Bombyx mori: one gene and its partners. Each later gene encodes a partner of the first gene's protein in a complex. Links are inferred from orthologs where the notes say so. Each region holds a gene or a part of one and is shown on either strand. Other genes may lie near its edges.

What was found. The genes of interacting proteins can lie anywhere in the genome.
Region 2: cyclin-C (region 1) and mediator of RNA polymerase II transcription subunit 7 share a complex: the UniProt entries of both Caenorhabditis elegans proteins name them as parts of the mediator complex. The link is inferred for Bombyx mori from reciprocal best matches to the Caenorhabditis elegans genes cic-1 and let-49.
Region 3: cyclin-C (region 1) and cdk8 share a complex: the UniProt entries of both Caenorhabditis elegans proteins name them as parts of the mediator complex. The link is inferred for Bombyx mori from reciprocal best matches to the Caenorhabditis elegans genes cic-1 and cdk-8.
Region 4: cyclin-C (region 1) and mediator of RNA polymerase II transcription subunit 21 share a complex: the UniProt entries of both Caenorhabditis elegans proteins name them as parts of the mediator complex. The link is inferred for Bombyx mori from reciprocal best matches to the Caenorhabditis elegans genes cic-1 and mdt-21.

What each region holds. Positions count from the first base shown.
Region 1 is NC_085121.1:11,204,283-11,210,109, reverse strand, and holds the start of cyclin-C, read right to left. Parts: upstream 3,397-5,827; 5' UTR 2,109-3,396; coding exon 1,518-2,108; intron 1,437-1,517; coding exon 1,344-1,436; intron 1,238-1,343; coding exon 1,115-1,237; 3' UTR 1-1,114. UniProt on the Caenorhabditis elegans protein: Component of the Mediator complex, a coactivator involved in regulated gene transcription of nearly all RNA polymerase II-dependent genes.
Region 2 is NC_085119.1:10,079,830-10,085,651, forward strand, and holds the start of mediator of RNA polymerase II transcription subunit 7, read left to right. Parts: upstream 1-2,449; 5' UTR 2,450-2,649; coding exon 2,650-2,835; intron 2,836-2,907; coding exon 2,908-3,176; intron 3,177-5,649; coding exon 5,650-5,822. UniProt on the Caenorhabditis elegans protein: Component of the Mediator complex, a coactivator involved in the regulated transcription of nearly all RNA polymerase II-dependent genes.
Region 3 is NC_085129.1:10,511,992-10,517,698, reverse strand, and holds the start of cdk8 (cyclin dependent kinase 8), read right to left. Parts: upstream 3,374-5,707; 5' UTR 3,136-3,373; coding exon 2,890-3,135; intron 2,235-2,889; coding exon 1,983-2,234; intron 1,356-1,982; coding exon 1,166-1,355; intron 487-1,165; coding exon 273-486; intron 195-272; coding exon 26-194; intron 1-25. Other genes in the region: uncharacterized protein LOC101736423, read left to right, coding at 4,948-5,071. UniProt on the Caenorhabditis elegans protein: Component of the Mediator complex, a coactivator involved in regulated gene transcription of nearly all RNA polymerase II-dependent genes.
Region 4 is NC_085122.1:11,557,149-11,562,774, forward strand, and holds mediator of RNA polymerase II transcription subunit 21, read right to left. Parts: upstream 3,374-5,626; 5' UTR 2,485-3,373; coding exon 2,443-2,484; intron 2,365-2,442; coding exon 2,086-2,364; intron 1,297-2,085; coding exon 1,171-1,296; 3' UTR 375-1,170; downstream 1-374. UniProt on the Caenorhabditis elegans protein: Component of the Mediator complex, a coactivator involved in the regulated transcription of nearly all RNA polymerase II-dependent genes.

The DNA of each region.
Region 1 (5,827 bases):
TAAAAAGACAGTACCAACAGTCTTAATTTTTAAAGATGCATTCCTATTATTTATTTTACATAATTAATCATGCTTACAAGAATAGCACAATTTTTAGTATAATAAACAATAATAGTTAAAATTGGTAAAAATATTTTTTATTTTATCATAATATTTCATTAATTGTTAATGGAACTTTATGGTTATTGTTAGAATTCCACAGGTGTCTATTATTATAGTACCACCAACGTACCATCAGTAACAAGAAATCAATGTTTTTCAAACCATTAACTACTCCCCAGTGTTATGTCAAATGTCATATATCTGCAGGTAATAGTGGAGCATGACCCCTAGTTTATATATAAATATTAATATTTATTTGTTTGTTCGTATTTTATGTGCCCGCGTCTATTGAATTCAGCCACTGCATAAAGTGCTCAATGTACAATTTCACCAATCATACTTTGACTATACATGACATAATTATTCCCTGAATTGCTAATAAGTTTTAACCTGAAATGTGTAACCAATAGTAATTTATACATATATATCTATTTAAAGGATCCACCTCATTTTCAATGTTCAAAATTGTTAATGTTGACAAATGTTGTAAAATGTGAACAAATGCAACACAGTTAATGAATGAAGTATCAATGCTCAAAAACATGCAGACAGATAAGACTAAATTCATTAGAATTGCCTTTTTTCTTTAGCTTTTGTCATCTTACTTATCTTTGTCAGTTTACTTATATGAACAATGTTATTGGGCAGCATAGCAATACAATGACATTATTTAAACATTAAACTTGAAATAAAGGAATAATTTACTTTTGTGTCTAAAGGCTACAATAGGATACAATAGTCTTAAATCACATAACAACCAATAAAGAGAGTATCTTTGGCTTGTGATGGAAAATTAAATAACTTAGTTCTTGTTCTTTTAATTTATGCTCTAAAGTGTGCTCTACACTGTATTTGTTTATGGTTGAAAAAATTCATAAAAATCACTTGAAATATAAGTGACCTCATCAAAAATAGTAATTTCTTTTCCTAGGGAATTAAAAACAAATTTTTCATGTCTACAATTAAAAATTATATATCCATTATACAAATCCATACTACAAAATATGTCTTGCTATCTCTGGGGAGCTGGCTTTGGTTTGGGCATCTTGGACAATAGCCCTTGTATTTCTTTTTTTTCATCATAACTTTTCCACATCTCATAAAGGTTAATGATAGCTCTCACAATTTCTTGGATCTGTAAATTTGAATTTTTAAATGAGTAGTTTCAGAAGTTTTGTAATACAACCACACAATAACCATATTTTTTTTAATTTTAATATATATTCAAGTATATTTCTCACTTTATCCATGTCAACATTTAGCTCAGCAAACCAAGGTTTGAGATTGTCTTTACCAAGCATCACACATGCTATTTGTAAGGCACCAATTGCAATCTGTAATTCAAAATATAATGGCAATGAAAAGTTTTATGAATAAAAAATGAAATGTGACTATTTGCATTACATAAATCATACCTGATAGGGTGGGTACAACAAACTAACATCTGTTCTCAAGGAATCGTTTACTATTCTCCAAGCGTATGTCAGAAGTTGATCATCTTGTCCTATGTCTTGGACAAAAAGTAGTAATGGTCTATATGGTTGGTATACAATTAAACAACAATCTAAATTTTCTAGTAAATAAAATTCACACTCCAGAATGTGATTTGTCCTGTACGGGAACTCTTGTTGTCCATAAGCATAACTAAACTTATTTTTTATAACTGTCTGGCAGGTTGTTATTAATCTGGAATTGGATATAACACCAAATTCTTCAACTTTAGATGCAAGAAATACGCATGTTGGTGCCAAAAGAAGTGGATCAATACACTTCAAAGAGTTCCTTGCATAAAATCTTTTAAAGTAAACTGTTGCAGTTGCGATTACTTGCTGACGAAGTTTAAGTTGTTCGCCTAAAACTTGAATTATACTAGCAAAAAAATTAAATACTTTTTGGTATTCTTCTTCTGATAAAATATTCAAATCAAACTGGCGATCGCGCCTTAGCTCTTGCTTATCGAGTATCCATTGTTGATGATGTGAGCTTTGCCAAAAATTTCCAGCCATTTCTTCAAAGGCAAAACACAATAATTATTAAAATTTGGTAAATTTTGATTTATCAAAAAAACATACTTTTTTTACAAATTTAACATTTTTCCATCCATTCCTATTCTATGAAACTTTTGAAACTGTGTATTTTAGTAATATGTATGCATAACCAGGGGGGTGCAACTCCCATACAAAGGAAAAGAACATTCAACTAGCGTCATCTTTAGGAACCGGCGAGGTCATTTTTGAAACGTTTTGGCCTTAATGATCTAATAAACTCACTAGATGGCAGGTACGAGTTCTGACTCAATAAAAAAGGTTAGCGTACTTTGAAGCAGTGCTTCCACTTTTAGGGAATTCTCCCTTTTTTAGGGAAAAATAGCTGATATTTTGGATGATAAAGACAATTTAAAAAATACCAGGATTTAGGATAGTTCGGGGTAAAAAGCAAAGCCTATACTAGTAACTGTTGTGAATTTTAAAATAAACGATAATTAAAGTAAAACAATGAACATTTTATTTTATGGAGAGAGAATGACATTAAGTCGAGTTGACAAGTAAAAGAATAAAACAGAGTTGTGTATAAAAACTATAAAGAAGGTTTGATTCAACAGTAACCCTCTAGTAAAGTAAATTATAGATTAAGCCACTGCTTTTTTCTTAGGGATTCCCCAGAATCCCAATAAGTATAATCCGCCAAACTTTTATTTACCTATTTTCGTTGATGTCACCAGAACTTACTTGTATTGTAATATACAGGTACTTCATGTACCATGAAAGATTATCATGGTAATTTCATTTACGAAAACCTTGTAATTGTCATTTCACTTTTGCTAGCAGTTCCTTCTTCAAAGACTGAGGTGGAAAGATAATTCAGTGTTCTCAAATGTAAAAACTGACAAAAGAAACAGGCTTTCTAATGAAACCCTGAACGGCTTGCTTCATAGAAAGTTCCCAACTTTGCCAGCAAACAATTGCTCAATTTTAGAACCGAACAGTGTTAGGTTGCGTGCAGCAAAAGAATATAAAAGCAATGCGTCGACTTCCTTGAAAATTCTAATCCTATATATCTATGATCTTCTGGGGGCGTTTATATTATATATACCTACATTAAATAATATGCTGTGGTTTATTTTCTGTATTTTATTTATACTTTCTATATAAAGGATTTATGAAAGTTGTCTAGGAAATTTTAGGGATAAATTCAAAAGAAACTAGGGTAAAATGTGTTTAAAAAAACGTAAGTGGAAACACTGCTTTGAAGTTTTCAAAATTCCAGGGCCGTAAAACAATCTCAAAAAAAAAAAAAAACGTTTTCAAAATGTCGTAACGATTTAATTTTTTAAATCGTTTTTTTTTTGTCTTGGTGTGAGTTATTTTACGTTGTAGTATTAATTTAGAGCATCTTTTAGCTTTATGAGAATATTAGACGATTAGACATTGAGAAACTCTGTTTTGAATTCTCTTTAGACATAACTTGGTTCCAATACTTTTTTCTTCGTTAGCGTTTCGTAAGCCTGTGTAACTATTTTCGTTTCTTACAGAAAGTTTATTATTAAAAATCAGCATGCCTCGAAGATCGAAAATGAAATGCTATTTCGGATGCCTTGATAACGGTGAGTTTACACTATTTTCCCGGTATATTATTTGCTAACAGAATTATTATTCATAATATAATTAAATGAATTAGCACCAACTAATGGTCCTTCCTATTTCTGCTGCCTAGCTATCATATATGTTAAGTTTGATCAAAACAGTCGGTGTTAAGTCTCGTACTATCACACACACACCTCAGATAATAAAATTGTCTCGAGTGGGTGGAAGTATTTATGTTTTGCAACTCAGCGTATTATATGCTTATTGTCAAGTGGGCCCGAACTAGTTTTTTGGAATGGAATAAACAGGAAAGCATGACTGATTGATAGTCATGCTTTCCTGTTTAAATAAAATACAGCACAATTGATCTCACATCCAAAGTTAAATGATGGCATTCACATTTTGTTTCCTGGTGTTTGATAACCAAGTTACACCAAGTGGCCTGTGACCACGTTCATCCTTCTACCCAATATAAAATAATGTTTTTATTTTTGTAGACAAAGGTTTGATAATGACAAAATTTTATGGAAAAATTATAAGGAGCACTAAAATGTCTGAAACATGAAAAGATTGATGCACTATATTTGAACCAGAACGTGTTATGTAATATATTAATTTGTAAGTATGATTACATTAACACTAAATTTTTCATGGTCGTATTTTTTCAATATTTGTTACATACTTAAGATACTTTGTTTCTCCGTTTCAGAAGAGAAACTGATTCAGCAAGGAATGTGAACTCACAAGGGATCTTAATTTTTTTTAAATATGTTTATAATTTATAAATTAATAATTGAAATAGTTCATAAGAACTAAATTGATGCCAATTTTGTTTTAAAATAGGTTGTTTAGTTCTTATAGTTATACTATTACGTTTTGAATAGTTGTAATTAGTAAGTTAGTAATATATGAAAATACTGATATAAATTTTTGTAAATGAGCTTTTGTAAATTCTACGAGAAGATGATTTTAATTAATGATCAAAAGTCAACGATCTTCAAAAGCATTATTTGCAATTATTTAGATTAACTGTGGAATATATTTGCTAAGTTGTGTTTTCTGTATGAGCAGATATAAATGAAAATGCCCAAACATGATTATGTTTCTTACATTTTCATTATGTGAAATCAATATGCTTGTGACTGAGTATATTAATAATTTATTAAAACTTAAGTGATAGACAGCAACCCCTATGGCACTGCTGAAGTTTATAAGCACTGGTGACCACTTATCATGAGCCGGGTTGTGTGCTCGTCTGCTGTTGAGTGCAATAAAAATTTTCGAGACCCTTTCTATTATTTAGATGTAATATTAATGTACATTTAATTTGGATTAAAAGATAAATTTACATTTTATGTTTGCATGTGTATGTTTATAATTCATTTGCATGTAACGAACATCAGTTTCTTTTGTAACAAAATGCAAACTAATGGTTTGTAATGAATGTAATTAACTTTAAGATGATTTTCTTTCAATCTGCTGTTTGTTTCATCTAGTATTACCAAAGCTAAAGCATCAGAAACGTCAGAATAGAAATAATTTAGATAAAGAATAAAAGTATAACTATTGTAATCATGTCTAAGATTACTATAAGTGTCATTAAGTACAAACTATCAATATTTAAGAGTACTTTAAATCATCATTACATTTTTTAAACATTTTTTGTTTTTTTTTTGTTTTTCAAATCATGTAACAAAACGTTTGTGCAGAACAAAATGTCACATGTTATGAACATGATTGTGGGTTAATCGTTTCTTAAATTTCTAAATGTTTATAAGAATGCTAAGAATAATTTAGTATTCACTTTAGTGTGTGTATTATCTCTACAATGCTAGTTTAAATGACAATTATTGTATGACGAAGCATAGGTAGTATTTATAGATGTAATATTTTCATACAAGGTCATGATCTGTCACGATCAACTTTAAGCAAGAACTGCTATCATTAAGAAACAAATTTATTAAATTTAATTCAAATTGTCTACTATGTTTATAATGGAAAGCTGACATGTTTATATTTCGCACAAATGACTTAATTGACATTGAATGATTTGATTATCTAGACTTAATTAACTTTTAGATAACTTTCGATTTAATGTTAATAAGTACGCTAGTAGGATTAATCTAGAGGAGTTATTGTTA
Region 2 (5,822 bases), on another chromosome or scaffold:
TTTTAAAGCCAAAAACAATTAACGGTATTATCTAAGGCCAAAGAATCGGCTCGTATTATTATTATTGTTTATTAATATTTATTTAAAATCTTATTAATTACATAATATTTTTTAAAAAAGATATTAATAATACAATTTTTTAAAAACACTATATAAAAATAGATTGCCGCTGATGGCGGTGTCTACGACACAAGCCACCAGTGGTTAGGACTCCAGAGTGAGAAGCCTCCTCACAATGCGTGCAGTATCGAGGATAACTGCTTTCTGTATTTGGCCCTTAACCCAGCTGGATAACGAAAGTTTTTTAAGATGTTGATCGAAACTTTTCGCTATCAAGCCGTGTACCGATACAACTATTGGAACAATGATGGTTGAATCAACATGCCATATGGCGGTAGTCTCGTGGGCCAGGTCTAAATTTTTTATTAATTTGTCCTTTTCTGCCTTCACGAGGTTCTCGTCATGAGGAATGGTGACATCAACCAACACTGCTCGACGTGCAGATCGATCTATTATCACAATATCAGGTTTATTGGCAACAATATACCTATCCGTGATAATAGATCGGTCCCAGTAGAGCGTAACATGACCATTATCAAGAACTGGTTGAGGTTGGTATTGGTAATAAGGTACAGCAGAATCAAGAAAACCATATTTCAGAGCAAGTTGTTGATGGATAATCCTAGCCACTTGGTTATGTCTATGCAAGTACTCGCCGTTAGCAAACCGAGAACATCCAGAAACAATATGTCTAATAGACTCTCCCGGACGGTGGCATGCCCGACAAATGTCGACCGTCCCATCCTTTAATATAATATATTTCCGGTAGTTGTTCGTCATGATAACTTCGTCCATAATTGCAAAGATAAAACCTTCAGTTTCCCCAAAGAGGTTACTGAATCGTAACCAGGCCACGGAAGCTAATTGGTCTACATCAGGCCCTGTGAGAGCCCGGTAGAACCTACCGTGTAACTCCTTGCTCCTCCATACGGTTATGCGATCTAAAATACTCTTATTATTATTATTATTATTTGGTATCTAAACATACCTATCTCACACCATGTTTATTTAATGAAAAATTAAATGGAACTAATTATGAAAAGAAATTTAACTTGGATTAAAACTGAAGAATTTTTTTATAAATTATATAAAATATACAGATCAAATAAAATAATTCATAAAACTTACATCCCGAATTCCTGCCAAAGGTCTGCTAAATTAGATATTTTATTTCATTTTTCATTTTTTATTTGGGTTATACAATTACGTATGAAATGTAAATAAAACTACTTTTATTGTCTTTAGCGAATAATTGAATTTTTTCAAGTCTTAATAGTTGGCGCTACTGCAAAACATGCTGTCTGTGGCGGGTAGCCATCATACAACGCAAGATGATTGACGGATGCCTGAATCTCGCTTACGACATTTTCAAGATAAGGCAGAGCTCGAAACTTAGGCATCCGCCACAGAAAGCATGCTTTGCAGTAGGGCCAACTATTACTGTAGATATACGATAAAGGGAAGATCTTCCACCGAGCGGGTGATAATTGCTCTGTAGACCGACGGTCCGAATGTTGTTGTTCGGAACTTGTATATAAGCAAGCTGATCTTGAAAATGTCGTAAGCGAGATTCAGGCATCCGTCAATCATCTTGCGTTGTATGATGGCTACCCGCCACACTGTCAAACTGCAGTTTCGTGTATCCACTTAATCGCAATCGCGATGTGCCTTTTAATTTTTTTTATTTTTTATTGCTGAGATGTGTGGACGAGCTCACAGCCCACCTGGTGTTAAGTGGTTACTGGAGCCCATAGACATCTATAACGTAAATGCGCCACACACCTAAAATATTGTCCTCTGTATGAGAGCCTACTGCTATAATCCAATTGATCCAGCTCAATCCAGACACCAGAATCTTGCAAAGTTATAATACACTTAACAGATCTTAGTTACTCATTGATTTTCTTGTGTGATACATTTTATGAAACCATTTTAAATGATTTTATAGACACACCCCACCCCTAAGTTTGTTGCCAATCTTTCCTGTAACATCCTTAATAGTTAATTGTCTCCACGACTTGCGAAAGCTAAAGGAACAAAGCCCATAAAACATCTTTTTTATTTTATTTATAAAAGCCAAATTGTTTACATGAAATTTCTTTTTGGTTATAAAACATCAAAAATCTTTCGACAAAAATCAGTTCGGGATTTTTTTTTTCTAAAGGTTCATTGAACACTCAGTACATTCTCAGAATTTTAGCGAAAAATTACTTCACTTCATTTTGTCCACACTTACGGTGTTGTCATAAACTCACCTCTAAATTGAAGTTCATTTAACTTTCACAACACCTTCGACCTTGGTGGCAAAAATTGGAATATATGAGCTATGTTCCCTTTGCTTATCCATAAGGCCAATCAAACAAAAAAAGCATACTAAAGCATAGATTAAACACTTATTTTTTAGAAAGCATAGACAAAGCTCATAATAATTCATACATTTCATACTGTAGTGTGTAAAGTTGTTTTAAAATAAATTTCTTCAATTTAACACAATATTTAAGAGTATGTAAATCTTTTTTTGTAAATATAGGCATATTCCGTTTTTATTAAGTGTTTGCTAGAATCGTACGTACGGATTCCCGGTTCACAATGTCAGAGACAGCTCAAGTTAGCTCTTTACCTCTGCCTCCAATGCAATATATAAATTTTTACACGGATGAAAATGTTAGAAGAAATAGAGCTCCTCTACCACCTCGACCTATTCATGATTCTTATTCAATGTTTGGTAATTCTTTTAACGCTGATGATGCTATTATACGTTCGTTAGAAAGCCAGGTAAGTCCTAAAACAACTAGTTTACAAACACAAATGTTTATGTAAATAATTCGTTGTAAAAAATTCCTTCAGGGATTTCGAAGATTGTATCCTATGCATTTTGAACGAAGAAGAGAATTGAAGAAACTTAACCATTCACTGCTGGCAAATTTTCTGGATTTGTTGGATTTGCTTGTTCATTGTCCAGATTCTCCAAAGAGAGCAGAAAAAGTAGAAGACCTAAGTTTGTTATTTATTCATATACATCATCTTCTAAATGAATTTAGGCCACACCAAGCAAGAGAAACATTGAGAGTAATGATGGAATTGCAGAAAAGACAGAGGGTTGAAACTGCAGCAAGGTACTATTAATAGCGTTAATTTGTCATATGTTGGTGTTTCTACTATATCTATACTGGACACCAAGGAACCATTCTAGAAAATAAAGATAGATCTCAGATCACAAATGACAAAATAAAAAAGATGCCAACATAAATATTTAAGTTATGTTTTTGCCACACACATGATATAACCATTAAGTGTGTGACTTATCCTTTATTATTTTAGGCTTTAACATTATAATATGATCTTTAATTGGGTGGTAATGTGAAAGTCTGATTTAAATTTCACTGGTTGGATTTTCACTGGTTGGAAACATTAGGTGCCACTAGTGATTAGACATTTTTATCTGTTACCACAGTACCTTCATGATTGAGATTCCCAGACATTTTGCCCATCAATGTTATGTTAATTTATTTATAATTAGTAGAACCTGAATAAATTTATTGTGTTTAATCTTACCATAGGCTGTTAAACACAAAGTCATATTAAGTTCTCCCAATGTTTGATATTGAAGCAGAATAATGAAAATCAGATTTGTAATGAGTTTAATTTTTTTTTATTTTTATTGCTTAGGTGGGTGGATGAGCTCACAGCCCACCTGGTGTTAAGTGGTTACTGGAGCCCATAGACATCTACAAAGCAAATGCGCCACACACCCTGAGTTATAGTTCTAAGGTGTCTCAGTATAGTCACAACGGCTTCCCCACCCTTCAGACCGAAACGCATTACTGCTTCACGGCAGAAATAGGCGGGGTGGTGGTACCCACCCGTGCGGACTCACAAGAGGTCCTACCACCACCAGTAAAAAACCTTAAACTTGTCTCAATAAAAAAATTTTAGTATTCATAATGTCATATCATCTTTTTCAAACCAAAATCTGCCCTCTGCACTTTTTAGAGATTTCCAAATTTGAACTGTTTTGAGTAATATACAAAAATATTTTAATATAAAAAAAAAGAAATTAGCAGATATTGTTTACTGATACTACGAGGGCGGCACTGAAAATTTCGGGAATTAACGAAGTGACGAAGTTACTATTTAAAAATGTATTTATTGCTTATCGAAGTATTCTCCGCGAAATTTGACACATTTTTCCATACGATGGAACCAATCATTGAAGCAACCATTCCATTCGGAAGTTGGGGTCTCCAAAATGGCCGTTTTGTAGGCGTCTACAGCTTCTTCAGGTGATGAAAATCTCTGTCCACGCAATTTATTCTTTATTTTAGGGAAAGTATAGAAATCATTAGGGCTTAGGTCGGGGCTGTACGGCGGATGGTCTAATAATTCTATGTTTTCTTGCTCTAAAAACTCTTTTGTTCTGTGCGCGGTGTGAGAACTCGCATTGTCGTGATGGAGGATGATGCGGCGGTTGCAGTTCTCTTTACGGAGTTCAGAAACGACCTGTGGCAAACAAATGCTAGCATACCATTCTGCATTAACCGTTCTTTGTCCCTCAAGAGGAATAGTCGTAACATGGCCGGTTTTGGAGACAAACGTGGCCACCATTTTTTTTGCAACACTCCGTGAACGAACAATTTTTGTTGGCTTTAACTCATTTTCGAACACCCAAACTCGTGACTGGTTTTTTGTTTCGGGTTCGTACGCGTATATCCAGGATTCGTCACCTGATACAATGTTGTATACAGCATTTGAGGATCCTGCGTGGAATCTTTCGAGAGTTCTGACGCACCAAGTAACGCGAGCCGCTTTTTGCTCTTCACAGAGCGAATGCGGTATCCATCGGGAAAACAACTTTTTTACACCTAATTGTTCATGCAAGATTATTTGTATTTGACTCATGCCAATGTCTAAAGTTGCCTGAATTTCGCGGTATGTCACATGTCGATCTTCCTCAATCAGCTTACGCACAGCATCAACGTTTTCTTGGGTGACTGCAGTTTTTGGACGACCTTGAAGGGAATCATCACTGAGCTTGACACGTCCACGTTGAAACTCAGCAAACCAGCGATAAATTGTGGTTTTGGATGGGGCTTCATCACCAAATACAGAAATCATCCGGTCAACACACTGTTTTTGTGTTAAACCACTTCGAAAGTCATAATAAATCATCGCTCTTGAATTTTCTCGAGTCAATTCCATTTTCTCAACGACTAAACAAGTTTGACAAAACCTCGTGACAAGACCGAGAATCTTTTTTAAAATAAATAAATGGTATTCGATTTTTAAAACCAAGGAGTTTTCAATTAAAAAGATTTTAATATGACAGGAACAGTAGAAATATTCCATTCCCGATACTTTTAGTGCAGCCTAGTATATTATAACACAAGATTGAACTCGAAAATTATTTGTTGTTTATCGTCGTGTTTTTGTGGATGGACAGCTGTTACCTTACAAGTTAAATTTCCATTCGGACCATTGTTGCTTGACTTTGGTTTAATGTGTGAATTCTCTGAAGCAAAAAATAGACAAGATGCTGGTATCCATGGAACCTAATCCAGTTATAAGAGCTAATAAAGTCTGTTCTTTCAGATTCAAGAAACACTTAGACAAGGTACAGGATATTTTACAGAATGCTCTCCAAAGCTTACCAGATCAAAATGAATTGGAATCAAATTTCAAAGTGCCAAATGAATTGTTGGACCAAATGGAAAATAATACTTGCAATATTCAAAAGGCTGATCCCTGCTTTGAATTAGATAGAA
Region 3 (5,707 bases), on another chromosome or scaffold:
ATTCAAAAACATTATAATATCATACTTGAGTAGGCAGTGGGTCTTCAGCAAAGTATGGATCCTGCATAGCCTGTTCTGAAGTGATTCTTTTGTTAGGATCCATCAGTAAAAGTCTTTGTAATAAACTAAAAGCTTTACTATCTGGCTTAATCTTATGCCTGTCCATATATTTGCTGAGTGAGCAGTTCTGGTAGCTGTAATGAATATGAACATATTAAATTTAATTTCATTTTAGACCAATGCATCCTCAAAATATTTGTTTTTCAATTTACTTTGATCTCTTGAAATCCTTAACTAGTGTTGCATGTTCTGGCATTTTCCTTATATCTTCCCAATCTTTTTCAAGTGGAAATCCCATAACATTAAATATTCTATCTAGTTGATCATGATGATATGGATTGCTTGTTTTAATGTCTTCTTGGCGACAATGGAAAATAGGTTCAGATGTTAATAGTTCTGCGAATATACATCCTATGGCCCAAATATCTGCAAATAAATGAGATTTTCTTAAATTACTTTTTTTTTTACATCTCTTTTGACTTGGTTTTAAACCGTGGCTCTACACATTTCGTCCAGGAAAAGTATCAGTATGAATACTTTCACTTTAAAAAAAATCATGTCAATCCATTGGTTTGTATTGACGTGAAAGAACAACATTTTAACATTACAATACACATATAATATTTTGCACCAATGAGTCTATACTTCATGAGCTCAAAATAATTGAGTGCCGCCTTGGCCTACTGCAGTCCCATATCCTGATATTTTTGAACAAGTGTCATGGGGTGGGAATCTTTCTATATTCTTCTTCGATTACATTATATTTTATGTTTACAATGAACTACTGATATGGTATGTAGTTCACAGAATGCACAATTACCGACCGGGTTTACTGAAATTTCAGATGAATTTTAGCTATGTTAAGTAACAATCCAAAAATGAAAATAGTATAATAGTTTTTATTTTCTAAGCTTTTTGGGATTTATTTAAATAATGATGAATTTAATAAAGTGCTACCAAGTTGTTAATTCCATGCTGAAGAGAAGGTGTTTTACCTGCCAAGTGTAGACGTCAATTAAGTAAAAATTACTTAAGTAAGTAAAAGGTAAGTACTTAATTTTATGTGGCTGTAGGTGAATTATTGTAAGAGTAATAAAATATATACCTATGGCCTTAGTGTAATGTCTGGCACCAAGCAACAGTTCAGGAGCTCTGTACCAAAATGTGACTACTACTGGATCTAAGTCAGCAAGTGGTTTCAAAGGTGCATTGAATAATCTTGCAAATCCCATGTCAGCTATTTTAACTCGGCCACGCTCCGGTCCTTCACCCATTACTAATATGTTGGCTGGTTTCTGGAGTATTAATTGTAAATAACATATATTGATATTGAACAAAAATAATATTTATCGATTCATTAAGTTTGATTTATGGTACACCAAAATAATCTATATATATAAAAATAATTGCTGTTCATTAGTCTCGCTAAAACTCGAGAACGGCTTAATTTTGGTCTTGAATTATTTGTGGAAGTCCAGAGGTTTAAAAGGTAGATAAATATGAAAATGTTCGGAATTAAATAAAAATAACAATTTTGTTTTTCCTTTGATATGTCCCCCGTCGGACGGATTCCTTCTGTTTGTTTTAAGTTTATTTTATGCAAAAGTTTGGGTCTTTTATTTATCGATTGAGGCACTACAAAGTCTGCCGGGTCAGCTAGTAATAAATAAATAAAAAAACAACAAATGCACATCATTCAACACAAAAAGAGATTAGTAAGACTGCCGTCCTAGTCTTTCTAATCTCTTCCAGGCCAACAGTAGAATTTCTATCAATTATAGTAATTTATTTAATATAATATTTATTATACTTTTATATATTATGTTATCTAATTTAGTATAAATTACAATTTCAATACAACATGAACTCATAGTATGTGAACGATTCATCATTATAAATATTACTATATACATCACACTCACCAGATCTCGATGCAAAACCCAGTTTGAATGTAAATAATGTATCCCATCCAATATCTGATAGAGGAGGCTCTTCACCATTCCTTTTGGCACCATAACTGATTTTTTATTAGCTTTAGCTGCTCTATGAAATTTGATTATATGCCACAAATCATGTTCTGCATAGTCAAATAGCAGCCAGACTTTTCGGTCAGTATGTGAAAGAAACACTCTAATAAGATTTATGACATTAGGATGTTTCAACTCTCTTAATAGCTAGAAAATAAATTGTTACACGAACTTTTTTATTATGATCTAAACCACACTACTATATTGTAGACCGAATATGAAGTAGAAAAACAGCTGATAATGCAATGTTTGTTTACAGTACACAATAATTATACAACACAACACAATCAAAATAGGTGTAATATCCCATGAACATATTATTTGAAATAATAATAGAAACAAGAATCAAAATATGCAAATTTTTTACATGGTGATGGTGAGTGGTTACCGTCATCCATGGACTTCAGCCAGGGGCTTAGCCAAGCCCCTGCCTACTGTTAAGTACTCTCCACAGCCCTCGTTTGAAGAAGGGCATGTCATAGCGCTTCGGAAACACCATGAAGGGGAGCTCATTTCAAAGCCGTATGGTACATGGCAAAAATATGTATGGAAACACACTGTGGATGAACTGAGTGGCTCAAGGTAGTGTGGACAAACTCTATTTCGGTGGTCGGCGGTGCGATGGTAAAAACGAGATGATGGAATCATTTCAAACAGTTCCTCATAGCACTCCCCATAGAACATATTATTATGGTAATAAATTCACATTTATACAGATATAAATTATTTAAAATTTAAAATTTTTATTTAAAATTAAAAACAAATTACTTAAATGAAATAATTATGTTGTATTTATACTTACAGCAATTTCCCTACATGCTGACATAGAAAGTCCAGTTCCTTCAATTTGTTTCAAAGCATAATCTTTGGTATCGGAGCCATCCTTCCTTCTGGCTTTATATACATGGCCATATGTACCTCTACCTACTTTACAGCCCTCATAGTCGAACAAGTCTTCCACTTTGGAACGTTCATTTTGAGTCTTGATTTTGAAATCGTAGTCCATCATCACAGCCGCCATGGTCTTATTTTGAAAGTTGTCTCCCATTGTTACGGTCGGGAAATGCAGTTTGGATCCCTGACTAATTAGGATTTATATTTTATTACACTTTAAATCATTTTGAATACCTTCCCTCACAAGTTATATACAAGACGTTATTCACTGAGCAAGTAATCACTACGTTATAACATTATTCTCCGTGAATTAGTGAAAAAGCCGTTATATCTAGTTCATGAGTGCAAATTATATCTATACTAGCCTAAATCTTTAAATTAAAACACTAAAACTAGCTTAAATAATTAAATTAAGTTTCATTCTCAAATAAATTAAGTGTATAATCTATGGTTTCATCTGCTTTTTTTTAAGTGATTTTATGACCTGGTAACTAAGACCTTTAAGTCATGTCTTATTTTAATTTATATTCTTATTTTTATGAAAAATGATAATATGGAGGGAAATGAAATGAAAATGATTAATCAACTGGGATGAAATTAAATGAAATGAGATGATATAGGATGAATATAATCTTAGTAAAATGGTGGTCATTTACTAAGATTTTTTCAGTGAACTTTTTGGAGGATCCCGAGAAGTTGCGTCCAGCGGCTTTGTTTCATTTTCCCACATTTGTGCACTTTCACAGATATTAAACAGTTAATAAACCACCGTTATTACACATTTAAACTTGAAGAAACACTAAATAGACAAAATAAAACAAATCACACAACTTCACTCCTCGCGTTCCCGCCAAAAAGTTTAAGTTTCATCTGTGATCATTAAAGTAGCCATATGCATATTTTTAAGGGATTTTACGACCTGGTAACTAAGACTTATAAGTCAAGTCTTATTTTAATTTAATGAAAACTTTTGTTTAATATGAAAAATTATAGAAATGAAATGAGATGAAAACGAAATGAAATACAATGAAAACGAAGTGAAATGAAACGAGATGAAATGATATGGGATTATATTTCAAATCTCAGTAAACTGGTGGTCATTCACTAAGACTTTTGAAGTGGACTTTTTGGAGGATCCCGAGAAGTTACGTTCAGCGGCTTTGTTTCATTTTCCCACATTTGTGCGCTTTCACAGATATTAAACAATTAATAAGCCACTGTTAATACACATTTAAACCTGAAGAAACACTAAATAGACAAAAAAAACAAATCACACAACTTCACTCCTCGCGTTCCCGCCAAATTATTTATGGTAATTTATGTCCGGGTAACTAAGACCTTTAAGTCATGTCTTATTTTAATTTATATTCTTATTTTTATGAAAAATGATAATATGGAGTGAAATGAAATGAAATGAAGACGATTGATTTGTAACATTAATCAACCGGGATGAAATGAAATGAGATGATATAGCATGAAATAATATAATCTCAGAAAAATGGTGGTCATTTACTGAGATTTTTTCAGTGGATCCCATATCATCTCATCTTATTTCATTTAATTTCGTGCCAATTGATTAATGTTACAAATTAATCATCTTCATTTCATTTCACTTCATATTATCATTTTTCATAAAAAAATTATAACCGATTAAGGTGTATGGTATGATACTTTTGCCTTCATAGTTGGAAAAATATAACTACTACTACTACTACAATACTGTTAATTGACAGTTGCCAGTGTCAATATGTCTAAATTTATCTGTGGTGTGGTGTCAAAATAAATTCACTTCGCAATAGTCGGACAATGGTCAGCAGGTTTATGGATTTCATCTTTATGCTTAAACAAATTTGTTTACTAGTCTTTGTTATTAAATAAACGTGTTCATATTTATCAAGGTAAATAATTTCATTTTATATTATTTAATGTCCAGTCCAGTGTGAGTTGTTACACTTTAGAAGTCACAATGGAGGACCAAGGGAACAGTGATGAAAATATAGTAAACGCAATTGATGTTTTAACGAATATGTTTGGAAACATTGTGAGTAATGATGTGATTGTAACTATTGCTGAAAGCTGCTGCGGCAATCGTAAGTAACTGATATTTTATGTTATTAAATGTACCTTGTACATACCAGGTACTTAGGTCCTTTAGTAATTGCACAAACGCTACCCCATCCCCAGGTAATCGCGGTATTGATTTTCCACCCTCTGATTGCAAACATAAATAAAGCTATCGATAGATGCATGGTCCCTGGCTGTTGTCAATAACAACGCATTCTGGGAACCCAGTTTAAGGGATTGGTTTCCATAGCAACACTCATTAACGTAGTGATTGATTGCGTAGCAAATTTTTTGTTGTGTTGAATTACTGCTTTTTATTTTGTTTTTTAGTGGTGGACCTTTACAATTAGTTGGTTAACTTGTATTGTTTTTATTTATTTGTCCAAAATAGAGTAGAAAAATAAGCATTTGCAATTTTATTAAATAAAATAGTTTTTAACATAAACTTAGGTATTATAATTTTTGTAAAATAATGTTTATGAATATATGTTAATTTTGTTTTCATTCCATTTCTGTATATAATGACACTAAAACTCAGACAAAATGTTAAGAATCTATTCTATTTCTTTCTAAAGCATAACAGTATTACTTAATTTGGGAATTAAATTGATGTAATTTGTGAAGGGACAGTAATTAGTACTGAAATCTATTACCCTCTTCTA
Region 4 (5,626 bases), on another chromosome or scaffold:
TGTTCCATTAGTTATCTAAAAGCTACAATGATAGTAGTAGAATGAAATGAAGATCATTTATTTGAAATTTTAATGTATTAATATGAAATTAATTGGAAAGAAGTAAAACGAGATGAGATAAAATGAAATAACGTCCCAGTAACAGGATGGGAATTTACTGACGCTTTTTGGAGGAAGCCGTTAAGCCACATATAGGAACTTTGTTCTAATTTCCCACACATGTGCACTTTCAGAGATGCTAAAATGTAAATAAGCTACCATTAATACATATATAAACCTGAAGGAACACTACTTCTACTAAATTAAACTATTCTTTACCATTGAATCAGTATTGAAATTTATACAAATAAAACATTTGATTTAATAAAACACTCTTAGCTATCAACATTTATTTTCAATCATATAGATTTTTTTTCATTTCAAGATTATAGTTTTCTATTTCCAATCTCTAAAGTATATTAATATTTAGATTCGAGTCCATTCCAGCATATACAGGGCGTACAACAAAAAGAAAAATTAAACCTTTAATTAAACATAATAACTTAATTAAATTAATTAAACATAAAACATAAATATTTTTTAATTTAATTAAAACTCATGTTCATCATTGAATACAATCACCTTTACTTTTTCCTTGTGTTCATTTTATTTTATGTATATAGATGAACGAGTTCATCTAATATTAAGAGATTAACATAGCCCAGAGATCCCAGTCATTGCCGCCACTCATCTCAAAATCATCATCAACAACTAACCTGTGCTTCAAAACTGGAAAACAACGGCTTTACAGTATGTATAGGCAGAGTGGCGGTACCTACCCTTTCAGACTTAAAGTATGCCTTACGTAATAATAGAAAATAATGAATAAACAAGTCATGTATACTTAACTATTCAATTATAACAAATGATTACTTAAAATGATATATGTCATACCAATGTTTTTCTTATTATAGTTTCAAAAATATGACATTCAGACAATTTAGTTTTCACCGGCATGAAAGCCCTGTAACAAATTTGCAAACAACAAAAAAAAATCTTCGTCATTAAGCATTAAGATTTCAAACACAAAATTTTAAAATTCATATAATACTAAAATACTTCCGTGTATTCTTGTTTTAACGTATCCTTTTGTAGAGGAAACTACCGTTGGTAGAACCCCAGACCCCATCCCTATAACTGTGGTTTCACATCCTTGTTGAGGATCAGAGCCGGATTCTGCATGTCCAACTGGCACTGAGCAATATCACTCAGAGCACCCTGAATCTTCTCTAGAAGAATCTCTCCTTGACGGACTACCTGTAGAATTATTAAATATTGTCTGACATTATTATTAACGCTAATGAAAAGAGAGTAAGTCATGTGTAATTATTTTCATATCGACGCTTGAAAGGCAAACGTGACTAAGCGACAATAACTGCTTTATACATGATAGGCAATAACCATATTCAATGCCAAAAAAAATATATTTCTAGGTCTATTAAAATCATTTCAATCCTACAGCTAGTTTCGTTAAAATAGAATTTTTTCAGGTATTTCATCTTGAAATTAGTCTACTGTGAAGTTCACGCATTGTCGCTTAGTCACGTTTGCCTTTCAAGCGTCGATATGATTACTTCCAATATTTCAAATACTATAAGTTTTTGTAGTCATGGCAATCTAAAACATGAGATTAATCTGTAAACACCCTATGGGTTTTGAAAATTGAATAAAGTAATATTCGCTGATACAATTCCAGTGTGCCATCTCAAAATGAAGTTAAGGAAACAACTTTAACCAAATCGCTATTACTGTCAATTTTATCTTAAGTAGGTACTAATTTATGTTTAAATATTGGTGCTTGTTTACATTACAAAAGTTGACTATAGACAAAATACAATGTCTGTAATACAAATACTTTCTTGGAATATTTGATTTTACATTCAAATGGCAATACAAAAGCAAACTGCATGGCATAATTACTTCTTTAAAATCATTATTTTAATGGTTTAGTTACATGATAATTCCCAATTTATGATAAAAAAGAAAGCTAGTGTCCTTTGAGATAAATTGCACGTGTATTGGGCACGGAGAGTTGACAGCCCTTACCTCTTCAAGTTGCTCAGCAGCCTCCTTGTTCTCGGCCTCAAGTCGCCGAAGGCTTTGCACTTGCAGCTCAGTTGAACTCTCTTCACTGGGCAAAGACTCGATGAGCGTGTCAATGTCCTTAGCACAACGAGAAATTAGAGCCGCGAATAAAACCGCATAATCCTCTTGACTCTGCGGTTGTTGAGGAGTCTGAGAACCACCGCGTTCGAAGCCTGGGAACTTGCTAGGCAACGAGAACTGCTGTAGAATTCCGATGCTGTTACAAAAATTCTCAGCTTGCTACAAATAAATAAATACAACGTATGTGAAATGTATTAATGTCAATTAAAACGAAATGTTCATTTTTGTCATACGTACTTGGTTTATGGTATCTTGAAGCTGAGTTAAGCGATCAGCCATTATTCAATTCAGATATTTATCCTACTAACCACTGTTAAAATTTAATCCTTATATGGATATTTTCTATGGAAGGTGGTTTTAAGCTACCTACAGTATCAATTTGTAAAACTACCTTTTGAATGAAGTTATTTGAAGTTGAACGTTATGACGTTTTTAAGTAATATTTCCAATATTTCCAGGTGGAAAGGCGAAGATATCACACACCATACATCCTAGTCTTTTGTATGTACATTCTATTCTCTTTCATGAAAAATGATCATATGGAGCGAAATGAAATAAAGTTGATTCATTTGAGACATTAATCTAAAATCCAAATAACTTGAAGTTCTGTAAGGAAACAATTATATTACGATCGTTTAACTTTGGCGTGCAGCAAAACAGTACCTAATTTGGAATAGTAACGCCATTTTAAGCCAGAGATCTTTTTTGCCACGTACCATACGGCTTTGGAATGAGCTCCGCTCCACGGTGTTTTCCGAGCGCTATGACGTATTCTTCTTCAAACGAGGCTTGCGGAAAGTACTTAACGGTAGGCAGCGACTTGGCTGTCCCTGGCATTGCTGAAGTCCATGGGCGATGGTAACCACTTACCATCAGGTGGGCCGTATGCTCGTCTGCCTACAAGGGCAATAAAAAAATACATTTAGAACTGCAATCATTCTCATCAGTATTAAAATTTAGAAAACCATTTCTCCGTTATATACATTATAAGCTAAATAGTAATGTTGCTAATAACAGGACCACTTGACGTTTCGGTTTGAAGGGTGGGGCAGCCGTTGTAAGTATACCTTAGAACTCATATCTCAAGGTGGGTGACGGTATTTACGTTATAGATATCTATGGGCTCCGGTATCACTTAACACCAGGTGGACTATGAGCTCTTCCACCCATCTACATATAAAAAAAATTAAAAAACTTTAATTATAGGCAATGAAATGAATTTCAAAATTTCCTTTATTTAATGTAAGCAGTGTACACAATAGGTAACCATAATATTACCGACTAGAAAAACATCACAATTATTGAGTATTTAAGTATAATAAAAAACCATTAATGAACCTCTTTCATTTCAGACCTTAAACGATTATTTTTAAATTTTAGTTATTCAATGAAACAACATTAACAATAAGCTGGATTCACATTACGGATATAACGAGGTTGTGTGTTCAAACATGTTATTGTTTAATGACTACTACAACTATTAGTCTAATTCAATCTAAGGCAGCTGTGCTATAGTAAAATTGGCAGAACTTTACTAATTTGTAAAAGTTTTCCGTTTTTCTTTTCGTTTCGTGTAAGCCATTTTTTTTACAATCAACAAACACCTCCTGTCGCGCAATAAGTAAATATCAAATCCTCGCGTCATTTTTGTAACAACTAAAATTCATCAAGAAGTTGCGTCGCAGTGTGTGTAGGCTACCGAATAGGTAGGAAAAAAAACTTCCATCACCGCTTTCGCGCTATTCTCGTACGAATTAACAATAAAAGACTAGATAGCTTTCAGCCTAACCTGCACTCTTTAAAAATAACTAAGCATTTGCGGTATCACATTTTTATGATAGAAATCCGCCGTTATCGAATTTAAATTGCTTAGAAGTCAACAATGAAAATTGCTAAATTAGATTTTTGAGTACTGTATGTACATACCCAACATAGCATCTAATTTTTTTATAAATTAAGTACAAAACTTTACTAATAACAGCAATATGAATATAATTCATTAGCATAATAATATAGCAAATAAAAATTCCCACTTTTTTTTGAGTACCTAACTAAATTATCGTTTGTAAAGTAAGAAAGTGAGCGCAGTTGGTTGAATAAACTAGCACTCGACGCATGCGCATTAGTTTTTAATTTTTAAATAGGGTAAGTTTGTCTACCGCCATCCTTGTCTGACAAACGATGTTACGCATTAACTCTCTCACTCTACTTTGGATCTAGGTTTCCATCTTTATCAGCTAGCAACCCCCGTTTGCGGCCACATTTACAAAGACAGAGGTTTTAAATTGTGCACAGAAAAAAAAACACACACACACAAAACCTCGTGATTGTTATTAAAAATGTTTTAAAACAATTTAGATAAATTGTTTGAAAACTTCAAAGCTTCACACTATAGTACCAAAATTATTATCAAATACCTTAAAATTATAGATCTATTCTCAATTTATTATCAAATTTTATGCATAAATATAGTTATAAACATAGCAACAAGTAATGACTATTTACTAAAACTTTTAAAAAATCACACAATGAAATAGTTTTAACAATTCACAATTAGTTTTGTTAGAGAGCATCACAAAGCTTAACTTTTCATTTAGAATCAAGTGCAAACAATCATGCTAAGTATTGGATTTAGCTATAATTAATAAAATTTTCAATCCTCATTAAAGCTTTACACTCTGAAGGGCAAGCACGAATGACTATCGAAAAAGTATTCGTATCTCTATCGAGAAAAAATAGATAGGATTTAAACAGTGCCCCTACTACCGTCCGTTAAAGGAATTAATCTATACTTTTATACTTAATACTTCTATACTAATATTATAAAGAGGAAAGATTTGTTTGTTTGTTTCGAATAGGCTCCGAAACTACTGGACCGATTTGAAAAATTCTTTTTCCATTAGAAGCCGACATTGTCCCTGATTTTATTTTTTTGGTTTCATGTGTGTTTTAATGTTTCCGAAGCGAAGCGAGGGCGGGTCGCTAGTCTATACTAATATTATAAAGAGGAAAGATTTGTGTGTTTGTTTGTATTGAATAGGCTCCGAAACTACTGAACCGATTTGAATAATTCTTTCACTGTTTGGAAGCTACTCTATTCCGGAGTGACATAGGCTATAATCTAGGAATACTAACTAAAACTCCAATAATGTAACCCAAGGTGTAAAAAAATTACCTAAAATATTCTTTACATCGCGTGCCCTGCGAAAACGATTGATGATAGAATTAAATAATGTACTACACCTTGTAGAACACATTATTATTTATAATAAGTGTCGCGACAGGATATGTCTAACTATTATAGTTATGCCGCAATAAGTGTTCTTTTATTTAAAAAAATAAAACAACGTCATATATCGTTGAAATTTTTGTTAAAGACCCGAACGGAGCCGGAGCGGAGCGCTAGTCAGCAATAAAGCAA